Linked DNA regions of Oryctolagus cuniculus. The protein of the gene in region 5 binds, or shares a complex with, the protein of the main gene of each other region. Links are inferred from orthologs where the notes say so. Each region holds a gene or a part of one and is shown on either strand. Other genes may lie near its edges.

Region 1 (3,382 bases), on a different chromosome or scaffold from region 5:
CCCAGACCAGAAGGCGGGGAGGCCCCTGCGCATGCCCAGGCCAGAAGGGTCGCAGGAGGCCCACTGCGCATGCTCTGAGCGGCGACTCGCCGGAAGGCCGCGGGGCTCGGGCTCAGCTGACTGGGGGTGGGCCCAGGCAAGGGAGGCAGCTTCCAGTTCGGCCAGACCGTGCACGAACGGGCCAGACCGGTCAGGGGCGGCGAGGAAGCATCAGCTGGACGGCTGGCAGGAGACGGAGGTGAAGCGCAGGGCGGCAGCGAGCAGCCGACGGGGATGAAGGGCTTGGAGAGGGAGGCCGGGACGGGGAATCCTCGCCGTGGGTGCCCTGCACCGAGGTCGCCGGTAGGGAGCGCGCTGCCCCTGTCCAGGCCAGGGGGTCCCCGAGGTGGTCCGGGAGACGCAGCTCCTGGTTCCCTGCTGCAGGGCTCGGGCGGGTGACGGGGGCGCAGTGGTGGGCGGGGAGGCAGGGGCCGAGCAGGGGAGAATAATGCAGGCAAGTGCACGAGGTTGTGGTACTTTTAGAGCTCAAGGTAAGGGACAGAACGGCCCAGGGTCTCCTGGGGGAAGGGGCTGCTCAGTGCAGCCCACAGCGCCCACAGCCGCCTCCCGCCGCCTGCGCGCACCGCACCGGCCCTCCAGGTGCGACTCCGGAGCAGGTCACGCGTGGGAGAGGTCCGCACGGGCCCGGCGGCCGCTGTTCAGTCCCCCAGCAGGATGGAGGCCTCGCGCACGTGCTGCCGCACGACGCGGTCCAGCAGGGTGTGCACGCCGCGCGCAGCCTGCGCAGCCGCCTCCAGCACCTGCTCCAGGTGGTCTTCGTGCAGGCGAGCGTCCATCTCCAGCAGCGCGATCTGGCCGGAGGCCGGCAGCAGGGCCAGAGCCAGCTGGGGGCTGCCCGACGCCTCCTCCACGTGGCTGAGGTCCGTCAGCGCTGTGCCGTCCACAAAGCCGGCCGAGCAGGCGCACACGAAGTCCCGCATGGGTATCCCGGCGTCCAGCACTGCCAGCGTGGCCGCGTTCACACAGGCCGCGTAGGTGCCCCCGTCCGCCTGCAGCACCTGCAGGGCCCCCGAGGGGCGTCAGGCGGCCGCCCCACGCCCCGCAGCCCCTCCCTCCGCGTGCGGGGCTGCGGCCAGCTCACCTGCACGTAGATGTCGATCTGGGAGCGTGGGTGCAGCTGGGTGAGGATGGCCGCCTCGAAGGTCTGGCGCAGCTGCAGGCCCAGCTCACAGGACTTGCGGTCCCCGTGCGGCCGGCGCTTGCGCTCGGCTGTGCTGAACGTCGCCGAGCTGTACTGGCAGTTCACCAGGGCCCGGTCGGGCAGCGCGCGCGAGCGGGAGCCCCGGATCTGGAAGAGGGGCGCCTCGTGAGCCAGGCCCAGGCCCCCGGCCCCCGCCCTAGTCCGCAGCGGCTGCTCGCCCAGCGCCGCCAGTCGCCTCGGGCGCGCGTCCCTAACCCACTCCCCGGGGCTACGCGGGTTCTGTGGGAGCTGCACCTCAACCCCCGCCTCCCCACTGCGCGGGGAGTGAAACCCCAAACCCTGGGAAAGCCTCACGGCGGACGGGTGCCCGGCTCTCCCCACCCCAGTCCGCCCACTGCTCGCGCCGACAGGCAGCGCGTGTGGACTGCCGCGGGCCGGGCCGTCGAGGTAAGGGAGCGAGAGCGCCCGGCACGCGAAGCGCCGCACGGCGGCCGGTGGGCGTTCGCTCCGAGGGCGCGCCGCCGCCGCCGCCCGCTCACTCGCCTCGTGCGGCCCGTACACCACCGCCAGCGCCTTGGTGTTGCCCTGCTCGATGTAGGCCGAGCCGTCGGCCTGCGCGAACACCCCCATCCGCGCCTGGATCTTGCGCAGCTCCCCGGCGCGCCGTCCGTCCACCCGGTAGCCCTGGTCCGACAAGAGCTCCAGGCCCGCCATGCTCGCGGCCGCCCGCTCCGCGCTCGGCCGGCCGGAGAACTACACCTCCCATCAGCCCCGGCACTTCCGGCGGCCAGGCCGCACTTCCGGTCCCTGAGGCCCGCGGCTCCGCGCGGTGTGGCGTCACTTCCGGCGCCGCGGTCCCGGGCGGCCTGCCGCGGCCGCCGGAGCTGGCGGGGCTCCGTTCTCTCGGTTCCTTGCCGTTCTAACTTTTGTTGAGTTTAAAAGCTGGGCGCGACCTCGTACGATACGGTCGTATCCGCGGAGTTGTGACTCCCTCAGGCGCTTGTCACCCCGCGGCTCTGGGGGCGCTGAGCCTGTTCCCTCGTACGCACCTTTTTGTGTTGCACAAAACAGCGCGGAATCCCTTCGCGTGGTCCTGCAGGGCTGCGTGGTGGCCGCGGAGAGCGCACCCCGAGGGCAGGGGCTTCGGGGCGAAGGCCGCAAGCAGGGCAGCGCGAGCTCTGCTGCTTTCCCACCGAGCCTGGGAACTGACCGTGTCCGTGGGAAGGGGCCCGGACCTGTGCGGCCAGCACCTGCCTCCGCTGGGCCGCATCCCACCGCAGTCTGCAGGTGGAAAGAGGCGCGCCGGAGAGGAGAGGAGACGCGGGCGCCGGTCCCGTGCTCCCGGGCTCTTGCCTCCCGTACGCCCAGCTCCCACAGTGCCCGCGTCCCCTTTGAGGGTGCAGATGCCCGCACCCTTCCAGAAGGCGGTTGGTGCATGCTTGGTTCTTGCTGCGGGACCTGCACGCTGTCACAGAGCGGAAGTCCCTGGGTAGCTTCGCACAGTCCACAGTTGGCGCTCAGTGGTGGCTGGCGCCGTCTTGAATGCTTCCTCCCCGTGGCCGCTGCTGTTAGCTGCAGGCCGTCGGCGCACACCTGCCTGGCTTCCCCAAGCAGCCTGGGCTTTCCCTCGGCTTGGTGGCGGCTCCCAAGGCAGCGCCGCGTGTGTGGCGACTTCATGACTCAGCCCCAGAAGTCCGCGTTGCCTCTGCCGTACCGCATGGCCCAGGCTTAAGGGGAAGGGACAAAGCGCAGCTGCCCTGGACGGCGTGGCGATGCAGACAGGCTGGTCCAGGGTCCAGGTGCAGCGCTTGCAGCGTCTTCTCCGTAGTGGCTGTGGCCGCGGCCGTGAGGGCTGGTCCTCTGCCACTGACCACTCTGGGTCCCCCACGCTCTACCCTGCTGCTGGACGAAGCTGTCTGCTAGAAGAGCAGCCGCAGCCCCTTGCCTCGGTGGCCTGAGCTCACTGTCCCGTCCTCACTGGGCTGGAGTGTCGGCCTGACCTCTGCTGTCCTCCTCCCTGTCTTGACTGGGTGAGGTGAAAATACTGAGGAGCCTGCGGTCCCCTGGGTCCCTGCCACCGCTGCAGCCCCAGCTTCACGACTCAGAGTAACCAGGAAGTGCCAGTCTTCAGCCTAAGCGACCAAAGTGGGTGAGTGGTAGCCAGGGGCTTCCTCCAGCCCT
Region 2 (2,870 bases), on a different chromosome or scaffold from region 5:
GCTCTTGGCTACCCGAGGGTGTGTAAAACATGCTGACTCCAGCTCAGTCCAGCCCTAAACCCTTGAACTCAGTGTTTGTGGAGACGGGGGTGAGATGGAGAGAGAGGCTCTAATAATTCAGTGGTCCGAGGGGTTACAAAGCAAAGGTGCGCCTGGAGAACCTCCATTGTTTTTTTCTTTTAAAGATTGATTGATTTGAAGGGCAGAGTTACAGAAAAGCAGAGAGAGAGAGGTCTTCCATCCACTGGTTCACTACCCAAAGGGCTGCAGTGGCCGGAGCTGTGCTGATCCGAAGCCAGGAGCTTCCTCCAGGTCTCCCACGCGTGTGCAGGGGCCCAAGCACTTGGGCCATCTTCCACTGCTTTCCCAGGCCATAGCAGAGAGCTGGATTGGAGCAGCTGGTCTCAAACTGGTGCTCACATCGGATGCCAGCCCTGCAGGCGGCGGCTCTGGCTCATGTCCCTCCCCTCCCTCTGAAGCTCTTCATGTGGGGTCAGGGTATGAGGCTGGAGGGCAGTCTCTGGTACAGAAGATGTTTAAGGTGCAGCTATTGCCTCCTACTCTAGTGTCTGCCCATCACTCCCACTTGACCCAAAGACACTGGCCGGTCTCTGAGTCCAGTTTCCCCAAGTCTAAAATGGCAGAGTTTGGAAGGTGAAGGTACTGCTTGCCTGTGCCAGCCCCAACGGATGTCCTGTCCTCTGGATACAGCGGCTGGCCCCAGAGCCCAGGTCACGGTGCTGCTGACAGTGGAGGGAGAAGGAAAAGCAGGTGCATGCTGGGGTGAGGGGCGGTTCTCAGGGTGGGAAGGGGAGGCAGAAAGGGGGTGTTGATGTCCGTGTTAATGATACAAAGAGACTTACATAAAGCCAGTGCTGGAGAGAGATTCCATCCATCATATAGGCCTTCGTGCCAGCCAGGGGCTTGGGAGTGAGCAAGGCCAACTCCCCGGTGGGGACATATAAAATAGTCCCACAGATTAGTGCAAAACTAAGATAACTACAGCCTGCATAAGTGAGAAGACTAAGCGCTCGGGTAGGACCTGGCCTGGGAGACAGTCAACCGGCCCGTCCAGCCCTGGGCAACCTTGCTGCGGCTTCAAAGCCTTGGCGCCGCAGCCGTTCTCCCTCCACGGCGCCAGGGGGCAGTGCAGCCGCGACTGCCTGCGGCTCTCCCGACAGCCCCCGCGCGAGCGCGCGTCTTCAAGCGGGCGGAAGAGCCGGAGCGCGCGGTAGGACGACGGGCGGAAGCGGTGTGCTCGCCAGGTGCCGCCATGCCCGGGGACCACCGCCGCATCCGCGGACCAGACGAGTCGCAGCCGCCGCAGCTGTACGCCGCCGACGAGGAAGAGGAGCCCGCCGCCCGAGACCCGACGCGGCTGCGGCCGGTGTACGCGCGCGCCGGGCTGCTGAGCCAGGCCAAGGGCTCGGCCTACCTGGAGGCGGGAGGCACCAAGGTGCTGTGCGCCGTGTCGGGCCCACGCCAGGTCGAGGGCAGCGAGCGAGGGAGCGGCCCTGCCGGCGCCGGCGGCGAGGCCCCGGCCGCGCTGCGCGGCCGCCTGGTCTGCGATTTCCGCCGTGCGCCTTTCTCGGGCCGCCGGCGCCGGGCGCCTCCGGGCGGCGGCGAGGAGCGCGAGCTGGCCCTGGCGTTGCAGGAGGCGCTGGAGCCGGCCGTGCGCCTGAGCCGCTACCCGCGCGCGCAGCTCGAGGTGTCGGCGCTGCTGCTGGAGGACGGCGGCTCGGCGCTGGCCGCCGCCCTCACGGCCGCCGCCCTCGCCCTGGCCGACGCGGGCGTCGAGATGTACGACCTGGTGGTGGGCTGCGGCCTGAGCCGCGCGCAGGGGCCCACGCCCGCCTGGCTGCTGGACCCGACGCGGCTGGAGGAGGAGCGCGCCGCCGCCGGCCTCACCGTGGCCCTCATGCCGGTGCTCAACCAGGTGGCCGGGCTGCTGGGCAGCGGGGAGGGCGACGCGACCGAGACTTGGGCCGAAGCCGTGCGGCTGGGCCTCGAGGGCTGCCAGCGACTCTACCCGGTGCTGCAGCAGTGCCTGGTGCGGGCCGCCCGCCGCAGGGGCGCCGCCCTGCCCTGAGCCGGCGGGCGAAGTGGAGCCGCGAGCGGACAGAGCGTGCGGAGATGGACAGTTGCGTTGGAACGGCTGTCGACAGACGAACGTTTGACGATCTTTCCAGTCCCCAGCCAGAAGCCAGCGCAGGAAGCCGCGGGCTGCTTGCTTACTCCCGAGCTGGGAAGGACTTGAGCCGGCCTGGTCCGGAGCGCGGGATCTGTGTGACTCCGGAGACGATGGACAGGGCGCTGCGCCTTCTCACAGCGGGACTGAAACAACAAAACCGTTTTTTTTTGTATTCGAAATACGCGTGTCGTGGTTCTTAGTACAGGATTTTCAGAGAGAGCAAGGCTCCCTGGCGGTGAGGCTCAGGACAGCACTGCCCCGCCTGTGTCGTGTCCCTTGGACCGGTGAGCCGACCAGACGGGCCAGAATCCTGAAGCAGCTGCGGGTTTAGAAGTGGGCCGTGTGCTTGGCAGGAAGACACGCCGCCGCCTCCGGTGCCCGTGAGGGCGGCTGCTGCGCCGGGAGGAGAGTTGGACGGCCCGGGAGCACTCGGGGGTCCCGGAGCTCATGGCTGTGCCGCGAGAGGCCCCAGCGCAGGGTTCCCGAGAGCTGGAAAGGGTTTTGCTGGGGGTGGAAGCCGGATCCCAGCCTTCCGTGGCCAGGGCCACAGCAGTCCAGTCAAAGGCCTGCACTGCCGCTGAGTGGGCCCCTGGGCTGCCTTCATCTGCCCGTTGTCCAGCCTGAGCCCCTGGGGAGAGGGCGGGTGAACTGGCTTCTGGGAAAGCAGAGGAGCATGGCT
Region 3 (3,155 bases), on a different chromosome or scaffold from region 5:
AATGGAGAGCGGAGTGGGGACTCTTAACCCGGGCAGTGCAGGATAGGACATGGACAATCCCAAGTGGCGGCTTTACCACTGCACCAAACACCCACCTCAGATAATTCGATTTTGCAGGGTCTGGTGTGGTTCTGTGGCATTTCATTCCAGTTCTCTTGAAGCAGCAAAGTTCCTTATCTTTTCCTGCCGCCTCTGATCTCTTTCTGTACTCAGAGGTGTTGCTCCTGCTGCTCTGCATGGCCTGACAATGGGCAAGTGCTTTCTCCCGTGGGCGAAGATGCCTCCCCCCCTCGTTCTGGGTGGCAGCTGGCTCCCGTCAAGACTTGTTCCGTCTGCTCTGAGAGTCCTTCACCTGCTAGGAACCTTCAGGACAGTTTTTCTCGAAGATAATTAACCTTTGGTGAACTTTTTTTTTTTGTAGGAAGGAAGATGTTCGAGCCACTGAAAAAGACAAGGTTGTTGGTTGGTTCGTTTTTCTCTTCCATGAATGAAGCAATTGAAATCCTTTACAATTACTCACATTTATGTTAATTCATCTGACCTGAGTGGGGCTAGGTTTGCCCTTAAAGCCAAGTATTTATTCATTGCTGTCCCCTCAGATGTAGTCCTGGATCTTTCAGAACCAACTGCAGTACCTCTTATATCTTTTCTTTTTCTAAAGATTTATTTTATTTATTTGAAAGAGTTACAGAGAGAGTTAGAGACAGAGAAAGATCTTCCATCCACTGGTTCACTCCTGAGATGGCTGCAGTGGCTGGAGCTGCGCTGATCCAGAGCCAGGAGCCTCTTCCAGGTCTCCCACGCGGGTACAGGGGCCCAAGTAGTTGGGCCATCCTCTACTGCTTTCCCAGCCCACAGCAGAGAGCTGGATCGGAAATGGAGCAGCTGGGTCTTGAACCAGCGCCCACATGGGATGCCAGCGCTTCAGGCCAGGGCGTTAACGTGCTGCGCCACAGTGCTTGCCCCGCCCTTTTTTTTTTTTTTTTTTTTTTTTTTTGTAAGATAAATATTTACTTGAAAGACAGCTACATAGAGAGCTGTCTTCCATCCCTGGTTCACTCCCCAAGCTGAAGCCAGAAGCCAGAAACTCCAGGTCTCCCATGTGGGTGGCAGGGGCCCACATACTTGAGCCATCCTCTGCTGTTCTCCCAGGCACATTAGCGGGACCTGAACTAGAAGTGGAGCAGCAGGGACTCTAATTGGCGCTCAAATGGGATACAGATATGTGTTGCAGGTGGTGGCTTAACTCACTGCACCTCAAAGCCAGCCCCTATAGTACCTTTTTATAGTAAATTCAGTAGTCTGATTCCTGATTGGATTACTGAATTCAAAATCTGATTTGTATGATGTTGACTGACAGGCTATGATGCCTTCTCCCCGCTGGGGTTAGATAGGCGACAAGCTCTCCCAGAGGGGCTAAGGATTCTGTGTGGCTCTGATCCAGAGCTTCACTTAACACCACTATGCTTTCTTCACAGGTTGAAATATACAAGAGTTTCCGTCCAGGGGACATTGTCTTGGCCAAAGTGGTATCCTTTATTCCCAGCAGACTTCTGGTTCTTCGTGAAGAAGACATGGAACTAGAGAAACAACCCAAGTGGCTAAGGGGGGAAGACTTGTAACCTCTCATTTTCCTTCACCGCTGTTGTGTGACTAGATCTCTCTAGGTGACGCCCAGTCCAACTACCTGCTGACCACAGCTGAAAATGAGCTGGGAGTGGTGGTGGCCCATAGTGAGTCAGGTGAGTTGGTCTACACTTCTACATTCTGATTCTTCCTTGGCTGGTATGGTTTGGGATCAATGCATTAATTTTCTGACTTTCCCTAGTTTGTCATTGTTTGGGAAGCAATATAAGTGTAGGTACCATGATGCACTGCATAACAGCATTTTGGTCAGTGACAGACTGCATCTGGGCTGGTGGTCGCATGAGATTATCACCTAGTGATGTTGCAGCCGTACATCCTGTGATGTTCACACAACTATGAAATCGCATGCCCCCATCAGGTGATGCGTGGCTGTGCTTACTGCAGAGATGAGATTCTGCTAGCCCTAAGGAGGTGGGACTCACTTCATAAATCATGAGATAAACACGGTTTTCCCGTATGAGGGGAGGTTTGCTGGTAGCCTGGTAATACTTCAGCTTCGTACCCATCTGAAAGAAAAGGGCTTCAAGCAAACATCTGAGGTCCCAGCTGCAAACCCAGCTTTTCCCTTCCAGGTGTCCAGATGGTTCCCATCAGCTGGTGTGAGATGCAGTGCCCTAAGACCCACACTAAGGAGTTCCGGAAAGTGGCCCGCGTGCAGCCTGAATTCTTGCAGACCTAGGAGGCCATGGTGACCCCCCGGAGGGCTCAGCTGTTTCTGAGAGCATAGGTATGAAAACAGCACCCGGATGCATTGTCTGTCGTCAAAGGCCAGGGTCAGCCAGCACTGCCCGAGAAGACTCGACCAGGAAACTCATTGTGCAGATGAAGCCTTCCTGTGAGTGGATTTCCCTCCCTCGAGTGATGACATTCCTCCTCCGGGGGCTCAGTAAACTGCGAGCTGTGGCCTGTGGGAAATAGCCTGTTCCTCCCGACAGTGTATCTTTATAAATGTGTATATTTTGCTGTGATCAAGAAAACATTTTTTACTAAAAGGATTTTATTACAGGCTGCTGTTGTCTTGAGCTGGGAAAAACCCCTGAATGTGTCATAACGTTTAGAGCAAGGCTTTGCCGATGGCGCCCACTGATCGACGGGTGTCATTTGCTTAGACGAAGCCTGAGCACCAGCCTCTTTTGCATTGTTTTGAGTTCTGTTTTAAATGCTTCTGCTAACTGCTCCAGGCTCTAGGTACACCCCTCACTTCAGTACATTACGGCACAGTGAAAACTGTAGCACGGATGGGCTCATCCAGGTAGCACGTGAATAGGTCTGCAGAGTATTTGGTGAAAATAGGGTTTCTGATGTACTGGGTACTCCAGGACTGGGTGACCCATCGGAATTGAAAAGACGGACAGAGCTTTCACGTGAGGTGGCCGGGAAAGGAATGACAGAATTTGGAGTAAAGTGAAGATATTCGAGGCAGACAGCAGCCCTAGCAAAATGCAGAAGCCGAAATGCAGGGCCCAGCTCGAGTGAGGAAGGGATGGAGTCAAGGATGGAGGGGTTGC
Region 4 (4,188 bases), on a different chromosome or scaffold from region 5:
ATAGAAAATGGCAATTTCATTAATTATGCCTGACTCAAGAAGTCGGAAGATTGGAAGCCCTGAAGTACCTGTACGAGGTGTTTGGTTTCTCACGTGGGCATCAAAAGTGTGCTCTTGGTAAGGTAGCTGTAGGAATTTAACTCAGTTACTGATTTTCCCAGGCATGCAGAGATAATATGTGAATGCGATGTGTATTTTTGCAGGGTGAAAAGTCTAGGGGCAAATGTGTGTCACAGTATTACTATATTCATTTACTTATCAGGCATTGTTTCTTTTTTTCTTTTTTTTTGACAGGGAGAGTGGACAGTGAGAGAGAGAGACAGAGAGAAAGGTCTTCCTTTTGCCATTGGTTCACCCTCCAATGGCCGCCGCTGCCGGCGCACCGCGCTGATCCGAAGCCAAGAGCCAGGTGCCAGGTGCTTCTCCTGGTCTCCCATGGGGTGCAGGGCCCAAGCACTTGGGCCATCCTCCACTGCACTCCCTGGCCACAGCAGAGAGCTGGACTGGAAGAGGAGCAGCTGGGACAGAATCCGGCGCCCGGACCGGGACTAGAACCTGGAGTGCCGGCGCCGCAGGCGGAGGATTAGCCTAGTGAGCCTCGGCGCCGGCCCAGGCATTGTTTCATACCAGACCTTGGGCTACAATCAGAACTAGAGTGGTCGGCATGGAAGAGCACACAAACAGGCAAGACCAATACGTTTTCTTCTCTAGTTACAATCAAGGTGTTTTTTTTTTTTATGATTTATTTTATTTATTTAAAAGGCAGAGTTACAGAGCGACAGAGCTCTTCCACCTCCTGGTTCACTCCCCAAATGGCCTCCAAGGCAGGGGCTGAGCCAGACCCAAGCCAGGAGCCTGGAGCTTCATCCAGATCTCCCAGGCGGATGCAGGAACCCGAGGATTTGGACCATCCTCTGCTGCTTTCCCAGGTGAGCAGGGAGCTGGATGGGAAGTGGAGCAGCCGGCACTCGAACCACAGCAGCCTTACCCACTAGGCCACAACGCAGGTCCCCAAGAAGTTTTACTTTGAAGAAAAAGTACTTTTCCTGGTAAAGGTCAGCACACTTCTGAAGGTAGCGTCCGAAAAGAGCCCCACAAAGTAGTTTCCAAAGTCCCTCTGTTCAGCTCCCGTAATTCTCCAGGGATCCTATGAGAAGTATCTTGTAGTCCAGGGGTGCGACCGGAAGTGCAGGCTTCTCCAGTGGACTCAAGCTGGGCGTGGCTCACTGCCGACCCGCGGGCAGACCACGAGGCAGGTGCTCGGGTCCTGACACAATCACAGCCGCCTTGGGCGAGGAGCACCCGCCTGCTGGCAGAGACCCGGCTTCGCAGACTTGGGTGCAAGGCCAAACGACAGCCACGGCCGGAAGCGGAAATCCGGCCGTGGGCTGGCTGCTCCACTCGGAGACGGAAGCGGAAGTTGGGTACCGGAAGCAGTGTTTAGTGACGCCTACTATGGCTGAATCTGCGCCTGTCACAGCTGAGTCTCTCGCGGGCAGCGGGGCGCGGGCGGCGTGCACGGTTCTGAACCAGGTGGTGCTCCCAGGAGAGGAGCTGCTGCTGCCGGAACAGGAGGACGCAGACGGCGCTGGCGGGGCCGGGGAGCGGCCGTTACGCCTGAATGCCGGGGTGTGCTCGCGCGTGCGCGTGGTGTGCGGCCCGGGCTTGCGGCGCTCTGGCGATCGTCTTCTGGTCACCAAGTGCGGCCTCCTCCGCCACAAGGAGCCCAGCAGTGGCAGTGGCGGTGGCGTTTACTGGGTGGACTCGCAACAGAAGCGGGTGAGCTGGGATCCCGGGGGGGACGGGGAGGTGGGGGCGCGGCCGTGAGCATGGAAGAAGCCGCCGTGGGGCCTTGCAGTGTTAAGGCGGAGGGTGGGGGCGCTGCCGTGAGCGTGGAAGAGGCCGCCGAGGGGTCTTCCTGTGTTAGGGCGGGGGGTGGGGGCGCGGCCGTGAGCGTGGAAGAGGCCGCCGTGGGGCCTTGCAGTGTTAAGGCGGGGGGTGGGGGCGCGGCTGTGAGCGTGGAAGGGGCCGCCGAGGGGCCTTGTGTTAAGTCAGGGGTGGGGGGCGCGGCCGTGGTGCCTTGCTGCGTTAAGGCTGATTTGGAACCACCGTAGTGCAGGGCCCACCTCAGCAGCCACTGTATGTAGGACCATGAACAGTAGGGATGCAGCCTGACAGAGGCCTCTGGAGACTGAATCATGGTTATTGTCATTAAAATCCCAGTGGTTTTGGAACAGCAGGCTTGACCTTTGGCGTCCCAGCGAGCAGAACCAGGCTCAATGAGTGGCAGTTACAGGGAGTTAAATCGCTCTTAGGTGAGAACTTTCCTGGTAGGAAAAAGTGTCTAACAATGGAATGTGCTTTCCTGGTTCTAAGGATTCCAGTGCCACTGGACTTGGATGCAGCAGAAGCTAGGGACTTACTGGTAAATACTGGCTCAAATGAATAGAAGCTGTAGGGGCCACTTGTGGTGCAGCAGGTTAACGCCCTGGTCTGAAGCACCGGCATCCCTTATGGGCGCCCATTCGAGTCCCGGCTGCTCCTCTTCTGATCCAGCTCTTTGCTATGGCCTGGGAAAGCAGTAGAAGATGGCCCAAGTCATTGGGCCCCTGCACCTACATGGGAGACCTGGAGGAAGCTCCAGGCTCCTGGTTTTGGATCGGCGCAGCTCTGGCTGCTGTGGCCAACTGGGGAGTGACCCATCGGATGGAAGACCTCTCTCCCCCTTTCCCCCTCTTCCTCTATCCTCCTCTCTCCTTTCTGTGTAACTCTGATTCTCAAATAAAAATAAATAAATCTTTAAAAAAATGAATAGAAGCTGTAAATCTGAGAGTTTATACTGTGATCTCTCTTTTACTGAAAATGGCATATAATCAAACTTGTATGGGTTAACTTGTAAACTTGCATTTCGGAATATTTAAAATTATCTCTTTAATGACAACAACTAAGGCTAACTTGCTGGAGATATCTTGCAATGATAGCTTGCCATTTATGGCTGTTCTCTCAATTCTGTTTTGTAGTATGTTCCAGTGAAAGGAGACCACGTGATTGGCATAGTGACGGCTAAGTCTGGAGATATATTCAAAGTTGACGTTGGAGGGAGTGAGCCAGCTTCTTTGTCTTACTTGGCATTTGAAGGTGCAACGAAAAGAAACAGACCTAATGTGCAGGTAATGATGGCGCCTTTGACCCCTAGGACGTTCATTTATCCAGCAGCTGCCTGACCTGTCTCCAGAGCCTGGCCATTCTCCCAGCTGTGCGGGATCATCTCTGAGTGTTCGGGCTCTCAGAGTTCCTTCAGAGTCTGCAGGAGCAGAGGCACACACTTGGTTTATATTTGTGACGTTGGTTCCTGGGAGGCTTCACCTTGGAGGGGAGAGGTTCTGTTTTCTCCGCTGTTACCTGTTAGGTCCGTATCCACTGGCCAAGGTCAGGCACAGCCTTAGAGAGGGGGAAGGACAGGTGGTGCAGATCAGCAGCAGCTGTCTGTTCGCCCTGCAGAGGAGTCATCTTCTTACCTAAAGTTTGCAATTGGCCTTCTCAGGTCGCATAGCCACACCCTTCCTGTCTACCCAAGCCAGGAACTTGGTGGCTTCTTTGCCCTTTCACCTCTAGTCACTAGTTGCTTAATCCTATTTTGAGCCTACCTCCATCCCTTTGTCTCCACTTTGCAAGTTCAGGCCTTAAACCCCCGCCCCCACAACTGAAGTCAGTGAGTGATCCTATTAACTCCTTTACCTCCACCCTTTTACCCCATCCATAGAGGCTTTGGGGAGCTGATATCCCCTTTCTCAGACTAAAAGGAAGATTCTTCAAAGCCTGCAGAATTCCTCAGCGTTACCTCCTTCACAGCGTGCGTGAATCACACCATACTCTACTGAACTCAGTTTCCTGCCCGTGTATCTTGCTTGGGTCATTCAGGTTGTTCCCTGTCGGGATTGCACAGGCTCATCCTTTGGGATCTGGGGTGAACAGGACCATCTTTGTGAAGGCATTGCCAGTCATCACTTTTTTATCTTTGCTTTAGCACTTAACTGAATTTGGCCTCGAATGAAATCTAATCTGTGCATCCCAGCTGCACTCCAAGACCAAATGCTTCTGAAAGGCAGACAGTGTTTTGTTCCTCTCTAGGAACGTGGTCACTGACAAAAAGTAGATATTTAATGTTTCCTTGAGTGAACAGAACAG
Region 5 (3,500 bases):
TTCAGGCCAGGCCTTTAACCCTCTGCGCCACAGCACCGGCCCCAAGATTTATTATTTTCAAAGTCATAATTAGAGGGAGAGTTAGAGAGGGAGGTCTTCCATCCACTAGTTCACTCCCCAGAAGCCACTATGGCCAGGCCTGGGTCAGGCCAAAGCTCAGAACCAGGAGCTTTAGCCAGGTTTCCCACGTGGGTGGCAGGAACCCAGACACTTAGGCCACATTCGGTTGTCTTCACAGGTGCATTAGCAGGGAGCTGGATCAGAAGTGGAGCAGCTGGGGCTAGACCCAGTGCCCCTATGGGATGCTGGTGTTGCAGGTGGTGGCTTTACCCGCTATGTCACAATGCTGGCCTTGGGCAGGTGGGGAGGTTTTTTTTTTGTTTTTTATGTTTTGGTGGTACATCAGCTCCTTTGAATAACTTATAAACTAATGATTCTTTTTCTGAAAAAAAGAAAAAAGCTTCCAAACCTGTTTGGGTTTGACTTTTGGGTCCATATTCTGGTGGTGGTTCATCCTGTGAATTGCAGTGCCAGACACACCAGCTGAAGGACCTGCAGTGAGACTCTTAGTGCCCCCCACGTCTCCATTTCCCTTATGGTAATATTAGCTCAGAGGACGGAATTCTGGATGTCCCACTAAGAGGAAGGGAGAAGCACTGTATACTTCTCGAGCGGAAAGACAGCAGCGGATGGGTCAAGGAGTCCGGTCATTTTGGGGTCACAGCTTTAGGACTGTGGTTGTTGCACTCAGGAAGACCTCCGTGTGGATGGCCGTGGCTGTGAAGACTACCGATGTGTCGAAGTGGAAACCGATGTGGTGTCCAACACCAGTGGGTCTGCCAGGGTCAAGCTGGTGAGTATTGGGGCCACAGTTCATTCCCAGGTGGAGACATGGGTAGGCCCCAGGGAGCCAGTGCAGAGGAGCCCTTGCGGCTTTTGGAATGCAGCTTGCTCCTGGGGACATCCAAGGTCCAAGCCCAGCTCAGGGAGGGGGGTCCATTCAGATCTGAAACACCCTTCCCCTCCTCGGAAGTCACCTGCCAAGTCCTTCAGGGCTACATGTCCCGAAGAGGAGGCTGGTGGTTGGGTGCCTGGCTGCCTGCCTCCAGTGAGGACCCTTCTCGTCTGTGTCTGCAGGGTCATACCGACATCTTGGTGGGAGTGAAAGCGGAAATGGGGACGCCAAAGCTGGAGAAGCCAGATGAGGGCTACGTGGAGTTCTTTGTTGACTGGTCAGTACTAATGCAGTGCTTTCAGAGGGGGTGATTTAACGGGTACAGATGGAGAATGGGAACCCCTGGTTTCCTGTGGCGCATGCTCTTGGTTTGCATTTAGTTGTCGCTCGGCCATCTGGCAGGTATTCACTTGCCTCGTCTTACCTGCCGGGTTCTCAAGAGCCTTGCCCTTGTTTTAATCATCTAGTGACTCCAGCTTCCCACCAGTGCAGACCTTGGGAAGTTGTGGTGATGGCTCAAGTAATGAGGTTCCTGCCACCCACATGGGAGACCTGGATTGCATTCCTGGCTCCCAGCTTCACCCTTGGCCTAGCCCAGGCTCTTGTAGGCATTTGAAGAATCAACTAGCTAATGGGATAGTGTGCTTCTCTGTCTCTTTCTCTCTGCCTCTTCAATAAATCTTTTTAAAAGTTATTTCTCTCCCTCTTGTTATCTCCCCCTCTAGGGGTTGGGAGTGTTTTTGGATTGCTGGCCTGGTCCCTTCTTCTGTCTATAACCATGTTTCTAGAAGCAGGTGGTTGTAGCAGGCCTTCCTGAAGCAGGTAAGCTCCTGCTCCATGTGGGTGTTTGGTGTTGATGCTCCGCTGGGCGTCCCCAGGGCCACTTCCGTGTTTGGAGACTGGCTGCCAGGGCTTAGCACGTAGTTGCACTCCTGGCTACAATTTATGATAGCAATGAAAATAGGAGCAGTCTTCAGAATGTGTGTGGAAAATACATATTATGACACACTGCATGGATTTTAGAATTTTTTAAAAAGATTTGTTTATTTGAAAGAGTTACAGAGAGGGAGAGACAGAGATCTTCTATCTATTGGTTCACTCTCCAAGAGGTTGCAACAGCAGGGGTTGGGCCAGGCCAAAGCCAGGAGCCTGGAACTCCATCCAGGTGTCCCACGTGGGTGGTGGGGGCCCAAGCATTTTGCCCATCTTGCACTGCTTTCTTAAGAGCATTAGTAGGGAGCTGGGTAGGAAGTGGAGCAGCAGAGACTTGAACCAGCACTCACATGGGCTGCCAGTGTTACAGGTGGCAGCTTAACCCACTGTGCCACAGCGTCAGCCCCTCACAATGGTTTTTTTTTTTGTTTTTTTTTTTTTTTTTTTTTTGACAGGCAGAGTGGACAGTGAGAGAGAGAGACAGAGAGAAAGGTCTTCCTTTGCCGTTGGTTCACCCTCCAATGGCCGCCGCGGCCGGCGTGCTGCGGCCGGCGTGCTGCGGCCGGCGCACCGCACCGATCCGATGGCAGGAGCCAGGAGCCAGGTGCTTTTCCTGGTCTCCCATGGGGTGCAGGGCCCAAGCACCTGGGCCATCCTCCACTGCACTCCCGGGCCACAGCAGAGGGCTGGCCTGGAAGAGGGGCAACCGGGACAGAATCCGGCGCCCCGACCGGGACTAGAACCCGGTGTGCCAGCGCCGCTAGGCGGAGGATTAGCCTAGTGAGCCGCGGCGCCGGCCCCTCACAATGTTTTAATACCATTTTCCTATAGCCTTTTCGAAGTGCCCTTGTACACCAGCTACTTGTGACATTTGTGTCTAGGAAACCCCGTGAGACTGAGCACCCCAGGTTTTTGCTGGGTGCTGGTCACATAGACACCCTCTGTTTAATGCATCCCAAGATTCCGGATCCTAGGAGAGCAGGTGTTTAGCATGACCCGTACTGCATGGTCTCGCACAGTGCACTGCCCCATCAGTTTGCTGTTGACTGGGAACTCTGAGAGCCAAGTTCCCAGATGCCAGCCAAGGGCCAGCCCACAGACAGGCTCTTCTCAATCTCCCCTTGCCACCGTGTCCGCGCTTTGTACAGTGCTAACCCATGTTCAGGTGGTGAGTTACACAAAAGGTGGTCCTCACAGCACTCCTGCTGTCATCTCGAGAGAGATGACAAATGGAGTTCAGAGAGTAAGAGACTTCCATAATATCACATAGCTAAAAATGCCAGCTCAGGTCTGTCCATTCTCATGCAGCCTACAGAGGCCAGCTCTCAGGAACATTGCACTTGGATGTCAGGAGCTGTCCACGGTCACCTTTCTGCTCAGTTATCCTTCCAGCCGGTTGCTACCATTTCAACTGGCTTCTGGTTCCTCCTAGCTGCTCTCACTAGTCTGAATTGCAGATGGCCCATTCTCTAGGTTCCTGTGGATGCTCCTGGAGGAAGCAGACTGCCTCTCCTGGCCAGGATCTGCCCGATGGAGAGCAGTAAATGGTTCTGAGGAGCAGGCAGCCCGGGTGAGGAACTGTGATTTGCTTTCTGCTTCCTCCCTCTCATTG
Region 6 (4,216 bases), on a different chromosome or scaffold from region 5:
CCGGGAGGCACAGCTCCTTTAAGCAGGAGTGGCAGATAAGACCACACGGGACAGGCATCGCTCCACCGGCAGGGACTCCTGTGACGTGACAGGCAGTGCCCGGCACGCGGGCGGAGGCTGCTGTGGGCACAGACGCAGGTGCAGGCCTTGGTTGTGTGTGCGCATTTGCCCTCTCCACCACACACACCTGCCTCGCGGGGTGTGGCCTGCTTCGCTTCACTTCTCTTTCTCTTTTTTCAGAGAAGTCAGCTGGCTCAGCAGTGTCCGGCGTGCTGCCTGTGGGTGGGGGTGCGGGCTGGGTTGACCCAGCAGCCGTGAGGCGGCTGTTCTGACCGACTGGGGCCACTGGGAACAGTGTGAAGTGGGGCGCTTGGGGCTGGCGCCAGGGCACAATGGGTTAAGCCATCACCTTCTATTCTGGCATCTCATGTGGGTGCAGGTTCAAGTCCCGGCCGCTCCACTTCCGATCCAGCCCCCTGCTAATGCTCCTGGGAAAGCAGCAGGGGATGGCCCAAGTGCTCGGGCCCCTGCACCTGCATGGGAGACCTGTGGGGGGAGTTCCTGGCTCCTAGTTTCTGGCCACTTGGGGAGTGAACCATCAGATGGGAGATCTTTCGCTGTCTCTCCCTGTGGCTTTGCCCTTCAAATAAATCTTTTTTCCCTAAACTTGGAACACTGCTTTAGAAATTGCTTGGCTCCTTAAACACTGTCTTTTTAAAAGCATTTATTTATTTGAAAGGCAGAGTTAGAGAGAGAGAGAGAGACAGAGAGACAGTGAGACAGAGAGGTCTTCCATCCACTGGTTCACTCCTCAAATGGCTGCAAGGGCCAGAACTGGGCCAGGCCGAAGCCAGGAGCTTCCTCCAGGTCTCCCACGAGGGTGCAGGGGCCCCAGCACTTGGGCCATCTTCCACTGCTTTCCCAGGCGCATCAGCAGGGAGCTGGATGGGAAGTGGAGCAGCTGGGCGCCCAATGGGAAATCAGCGCTGCAGGCAGCGGCTTACCCCCACTGCGTCCCAGCGCCAGTCCCAATAAATCTTTTGAAAAAAAGAAAGTATGGCTATGCTTTCTGTTGAAATCGTGTCCTCCTGGGCGCTGTCATACAAAAATCAGATTTTAGCGGCTTAGAGCTGGACGGAAACTCAGAGGCCCATTCCTCAATTACGTCTAACGCTGGTAAACAATAAGCAGGATGGCAGTACCAGACAGCTTTGATAAAAAGCCACAAACAATAGCTTGTGGAATGCCATCACGCCACAGGTGCACCCTTGCCAGTAATAAACGTGGAAACTCCGCATTCCTCCCCTTCGGGTTAACATAACGGTTGCCAGTAGTCAACATGGCTGCCACACCGTGCGCTCCCATTGGCGGCTGCCCTGAGGCCCCGCCCCAGACCGCCCCTCTCGGAGTTGCCGGGCTGAATTCCGCGGCTCCGGGCCGAGCTGCGCCTGCGCAGGTTATTGGCGCCAAGATGGCGATGGAGATGCGCCTTCCGGTGGCGAGGAAGCTTCCCAGCGAGAGTCTGGGGCGTGATACCAAGAAGCACCTGGTGGTGCCGGGGGACACGATCACCACGGACACGGGCTTCATGCGGTACGGGGGGCCCCGGGGTGCAGGGGGCGGCCGCAGGGCTCTGCACGTGATCTGCGGGCCCGACCGGGGCCCAGGGCAGCCCCTCGGCGTCGTCTGCGAGACGAGTCCCTGACGCCGCCTCGCCTGCACTCTGGCGGCCCCGACTCTGGGGGTCTGAAGCGCCGATCTCTGGGCGTTCCTTGCTGGGGGCGGGAGGAAGGGGACTCTACGGGTCCGGCCGTGTCCGGGGGCGGGGGCGGGAGGAGGGGGACTCTGCGGGTCCCGGCGGTGTCCGGGGGCGGGGGCGGGGGGCGGTAAGTCGGGGTCTCTGCGGGTCTCGGCCGTGTCCGGGGGCGGTAAATCGGGGTCTCTGCGGGTCCCGGCCGTGTCCGGGGGCGGTAAATCGGGGTCTCTGCGGGTCCCGGCCGTGTCCGGGGGCGGTAAATCGGGGTCTCTGCGGGTCCCGGCGGTGTCTGGGGGCGGGGGCGGGGGGCGGTAAGTCGGGGTCTCTGCGGGTCCCGGCGGTGTCTGGGGGCGGGGGCGGGAGGAAGGGGACTCCGCGGGTCCCGGCGGTGTGCGGGGGCGGGGGCGGTAAGTCGGGGACCCTGCGGTTCCCAGCCGGGGGCGGACGGAGGGCAGACTTGGCTTCCCTCCTCCTCCCTGAGCCCCCCACCCAGCTTGGGCCCGGGGTAGGGGTCGTTCCTGTGTGGGCTTAGGAAGACTCAAGGTTGCATGAACTACCTTGCATGAATACACGCTGTGCCGCAGGGCAGTGCAGGGCCTTGTAGTTGGGGGACAAGGGGGGCTCCCCGCCTGCCAGTCACCTTATCAGAGGTCCGGTTCCTGATCTGTAAGAATTTCTGACGGGAGTTACTGAAGGGTCGGATGGGAAAGATACAAGACTCACCGTTAGATCGCCGGCAGAGATAAGCACTGGCAGTGTTTCAGCCTCTTGGTTTTTTGTAGGAATGCACGTTTGCCGGGTGTACATCATCTTCAGCATCAATATTTGTTTATTTTTATTTATTTGACAGGCAGAGTGGACAGTGAGAGAGACAGAAAGGTCTTCGTCTGTTGGTTCACCCCCCCAATGGCCGCCATGGGCCTTGCGCTGTGCTGATCCGATGGCAGGAGCCAGGTGCTTCTCCTGGTCTCCCATGGGGTGCAGGGCCGAAGCACTTGGGCCATCCTCCACTGCACTCCCGGGCCACAGCAGAGAGCTGGACAGGAAGAGGAGTGACTGGGACTCGAACCCAGTGCCCATATGGGATGCCAGTGCCACAGGTGGAGGATTAACCAAGTGAGCCGCGGCGCCGGCCCCTGCTTATTTATTTTTGAGAGAGACAGAGTGTTGTTTCACTTCTCAACTGCCTGCAACCCTCTGGCTGGAGCCAGGAGCCAGGAGCGCAACGTGGGTCTCCCACGTGGGTGGCAGAGAGCCAGTCGCTTGAGTTGTCACTGCCGCTTCCCCGGGTCTGTGTTCGCAGGAAGCCGGAGCCAGCAGTCAGACCCAGGCACCAGATGTGGGAGGCCGGCTTCTTAGCTACAGGCTGAACACTTGCACGCCCACCACCACTCCCCTAACTTCTCCCGGGGCTCCCGGGCAGGTGCAGGGGCCCAAGCACTGGGCCCTCCTCTGCTGCTCTCCCAGGCCATAGCAGGGAGCTGGACGGGAAGTGGAGCAGCCAGGACTTGAACTGGCACCCACATGGGATGCCGGCGCTGCAGGCGGAGGCCCAACCTGCTGGCCCCACCCCAAGTTTGAGGTTGTTGGAATCTCCGAAATGTTAAAATTCATTCCTGTGTTCGTACTTTCGCCATATATTTGTAGTCCGTGTGGTCTGGGTGTAGCAGTGAACAAAATGAATTCTGTCCTGGCGGAGTTGGCGTCTGGGGAGACACAGATAGTGAGGAATATGTTGGCCGGCGCCGCGGCTCACTAGGCTAATCCTCCACCTGCAGCGCCGGCACACCGGGTTCTAGTCCCGGTCGGGGCGCCGGATTCTGTCCCGGTTGCCCCTCTTCCAGGCCAGCTGTCTGCTGTGGCCAGGGAGTGCAGTGGAGGATGGCCCAAGTGCTTGGGCCCTGCACCCCATGGGAGACCAGGAAAAGCACCTGGCTCCTGCCATCGGATCAGCGCGGTGCGCCGGCCGTGGTGGCCATTGGGGGGTGAACCAACAGCAAAGGAAGACCTTTCTCTCTCTCACTGTCCACTCTGCCTGTCAAAAAAAAGAAAAGAAAAAGAAAAAGGAATACGTTAGCACAACAGCAGACAAGGAGTGGGGTCAGTGTTGCGGCACCAGGGGTTAGGCCATGGCTTGAGGCCCCAGCAGCCCGTATCCCAGCCCAGGTTAGAGTCCCGGCTGCTCCACTTCTGATCCAGCTCTCTGCTGTGGCCTGGGAGGGCAGCAGAAGATGGCCCAAGGGCTTGGGCCCTGCACACACGTGGGAGACCTGGTGGAGCTCAGGGCTCCTGGCCTGGCTTGACCCAGCCCCAGCCCTTGCAGCCATGTGGGGAGTGAGCCAGGGATGGAAGATATGTCTGTCTGTCTCCCTGTCACTCTGCCTTTGAAATAAATAAATAAATCTTAAACAGCAACAAATAAGGCATAAATGGAGAGCGTGCTTGGGGATACGGCGGCAG

What was found.
Region 1: EXOSC7 (region 5) and EXOSC4 share a complex: the UniProt entries of both Homo sapiens proteins name them as parts of the RNA exosome core complex. The link is inferred for Oryctolagus cuniculus from reciprocal best matches to the Homo sapiens genes EXOSC7 and EXOSC4.
Region 2: EXOSC7 (region 5) and EXOSC6 share a complex: the UniProt entries of both Homo sapiens proteins name them as parts of the RNA exosome core complex. The link is inferred for Oryctolagus cuniculus from reciprocal best matches to the Homo sapiens genes EXOSC7 and EXOSC6.
Region 3: EXOSC7 (region 5) and EXOSC1 share a complex: the UniProt entries of both Homo sapiens proteins name them as parts of the RNA exosome core complex. The link is inferred for Oryctolagus cuniculus from reciprocal best matches to the Homo sapiens genes EXOSC7 and EXOSC1.
Region 4: EXOSC7 (region 5) and EXOSC3 share a complex: the UniProt entries of both Homo sapiens proteins name them as parts of the RNA exosome core complex. The link is inferred for Oryctolagus cuniculus from reciprocal best matches to the Homo sapiens genes EXOSC7 and EXOSC3.
Region 6: EXOSC7 (region 5) and EXOSC2 share a complex: the UniProt entries of both Homo sapiens proteins name them as parts of the RNA exosome core complex. The link is inferred for Oryctolagus cuniculus from reciprocal best matches to the Homo sapiens genes EXOSC7 and EXOSC2.

The regions. Positions count from the first base shown.
Region 1 is NC_091437.1:167,909,073-167,912,454, reverse strand, and holds EXOSC4 (exosome complex component RRP41), read right to left. Parts: upstream 1,991-3,382; 5' UTR 1,916-1,990; coding exon 1,745-1,915; intron 1,349-1,744; coding exon 1,142-1,348; intron 1,059-1,141; coding exon 699-1,058; 3' UTR 501-698; downstream 1-500. Other genes in the region: GPAA1 (glycosylphosphatidylinositol anchor attachment 1 protein), read right to left, coding at 1-71. UniProt on the Homo sapiens protein: Non-catalytic component of the RNA exosome complex which has 3'->5' exoribonuclease activity and participates in a multitude of cellular RNA processing and degradation events.
Region 2 is NC_091449.1:56,939,994-56,942,863, forward strand, and holds EXOSC6 (exosome complex component MTR3), read left to right. Parts: upstream 1-1,199; 5' UTR 1,200-1,273; coding exon 1,274-2,089; 3' UTR 2,090-2,370; downstream 2,371-2,870. UniProt on the Homo sapiens protein: Non-catalytic component of the RNA exosome complex which has 3'->5' exoribonuclease activity and participates in a multitude of cellular RNA processing and degradation events.
Region 3 is NC_091446.1:32,404,429-32,407,583, forward strand, and holds the end of EXOSC1 (exosome complex component CSL4), read left to right. Parts: intron 1-421; coding exon 422-455; intron 456-1,478; coding exon 1,479-1,529; intron 1,530-1,657; coding exon 1,658-1,742; intron 1,743-2,219; coding exon 2,220-2,326; 3' UTR 2,327-2,655; downstream 2,656-3,155. UniProt on the Homo sapiens protein: Non-catalytic component of the RNA exosome complex which has 3'->5' exoribonuclease activity and participates in a multitude of cellular RNA processing and degradation events.
Region 4 is NC_091432.1:200,611,408-200,615,595, reverse strand, and holds the start of EXOSC3 (exosome complex component RRP40), read left to right. Parts: upstream 1-1,388; 5' UTR 1,389-1,455; coding exon 1,456-1,779; intron 1,780-3,020; coding exon 3,021-3,170; intron 3,171-4,188. UniProt on the Homo sapiens protein: Non-catalytic component of the RNA exosome complex which has 3'->5' exoribonuclease activity and participates in a multitude of cellular RNA processing and degradation events.
Region 5 is NC_091441.1:102,789,516-102,793,015, forward strand, and holds part of EXOSC7 (exosome complex component RRP42), read left to right. Parts: intron 1-751; coding exon 752-853; intron 854-1,137; coding exon 1,138-1,232; intron 1,233-1,680; exon of another isoform or gene 1,681-1,777; intron 1,778-1,783; exon of another isoform or gene 1,784-3,458; intron 3,459-3,500. UniProt on the Homo sapiens protein: Non-catalytic component of the RNA exosome complex which has 3'->5' exoribonuclease activity and participates in a multitude of cellular RNA processing and degradation events.
Region 6 is NC_091432.1:233,342,206-233,346,421, forward strand, and holds the start of EXOSC2 (exosome complex component RRP4), read left to right. Parts: upstream 1-1,416; 5' UTR 1,417-1,471; coding exon 1,472-1,593; intron 1,594-4,216. UniProt on the Homo sapiens protein: Non-catalytic component of the RNA exosome complex which has 3'->5' exoribonuclease activity and participates in a multitude of cellular RNA processing and degradation events.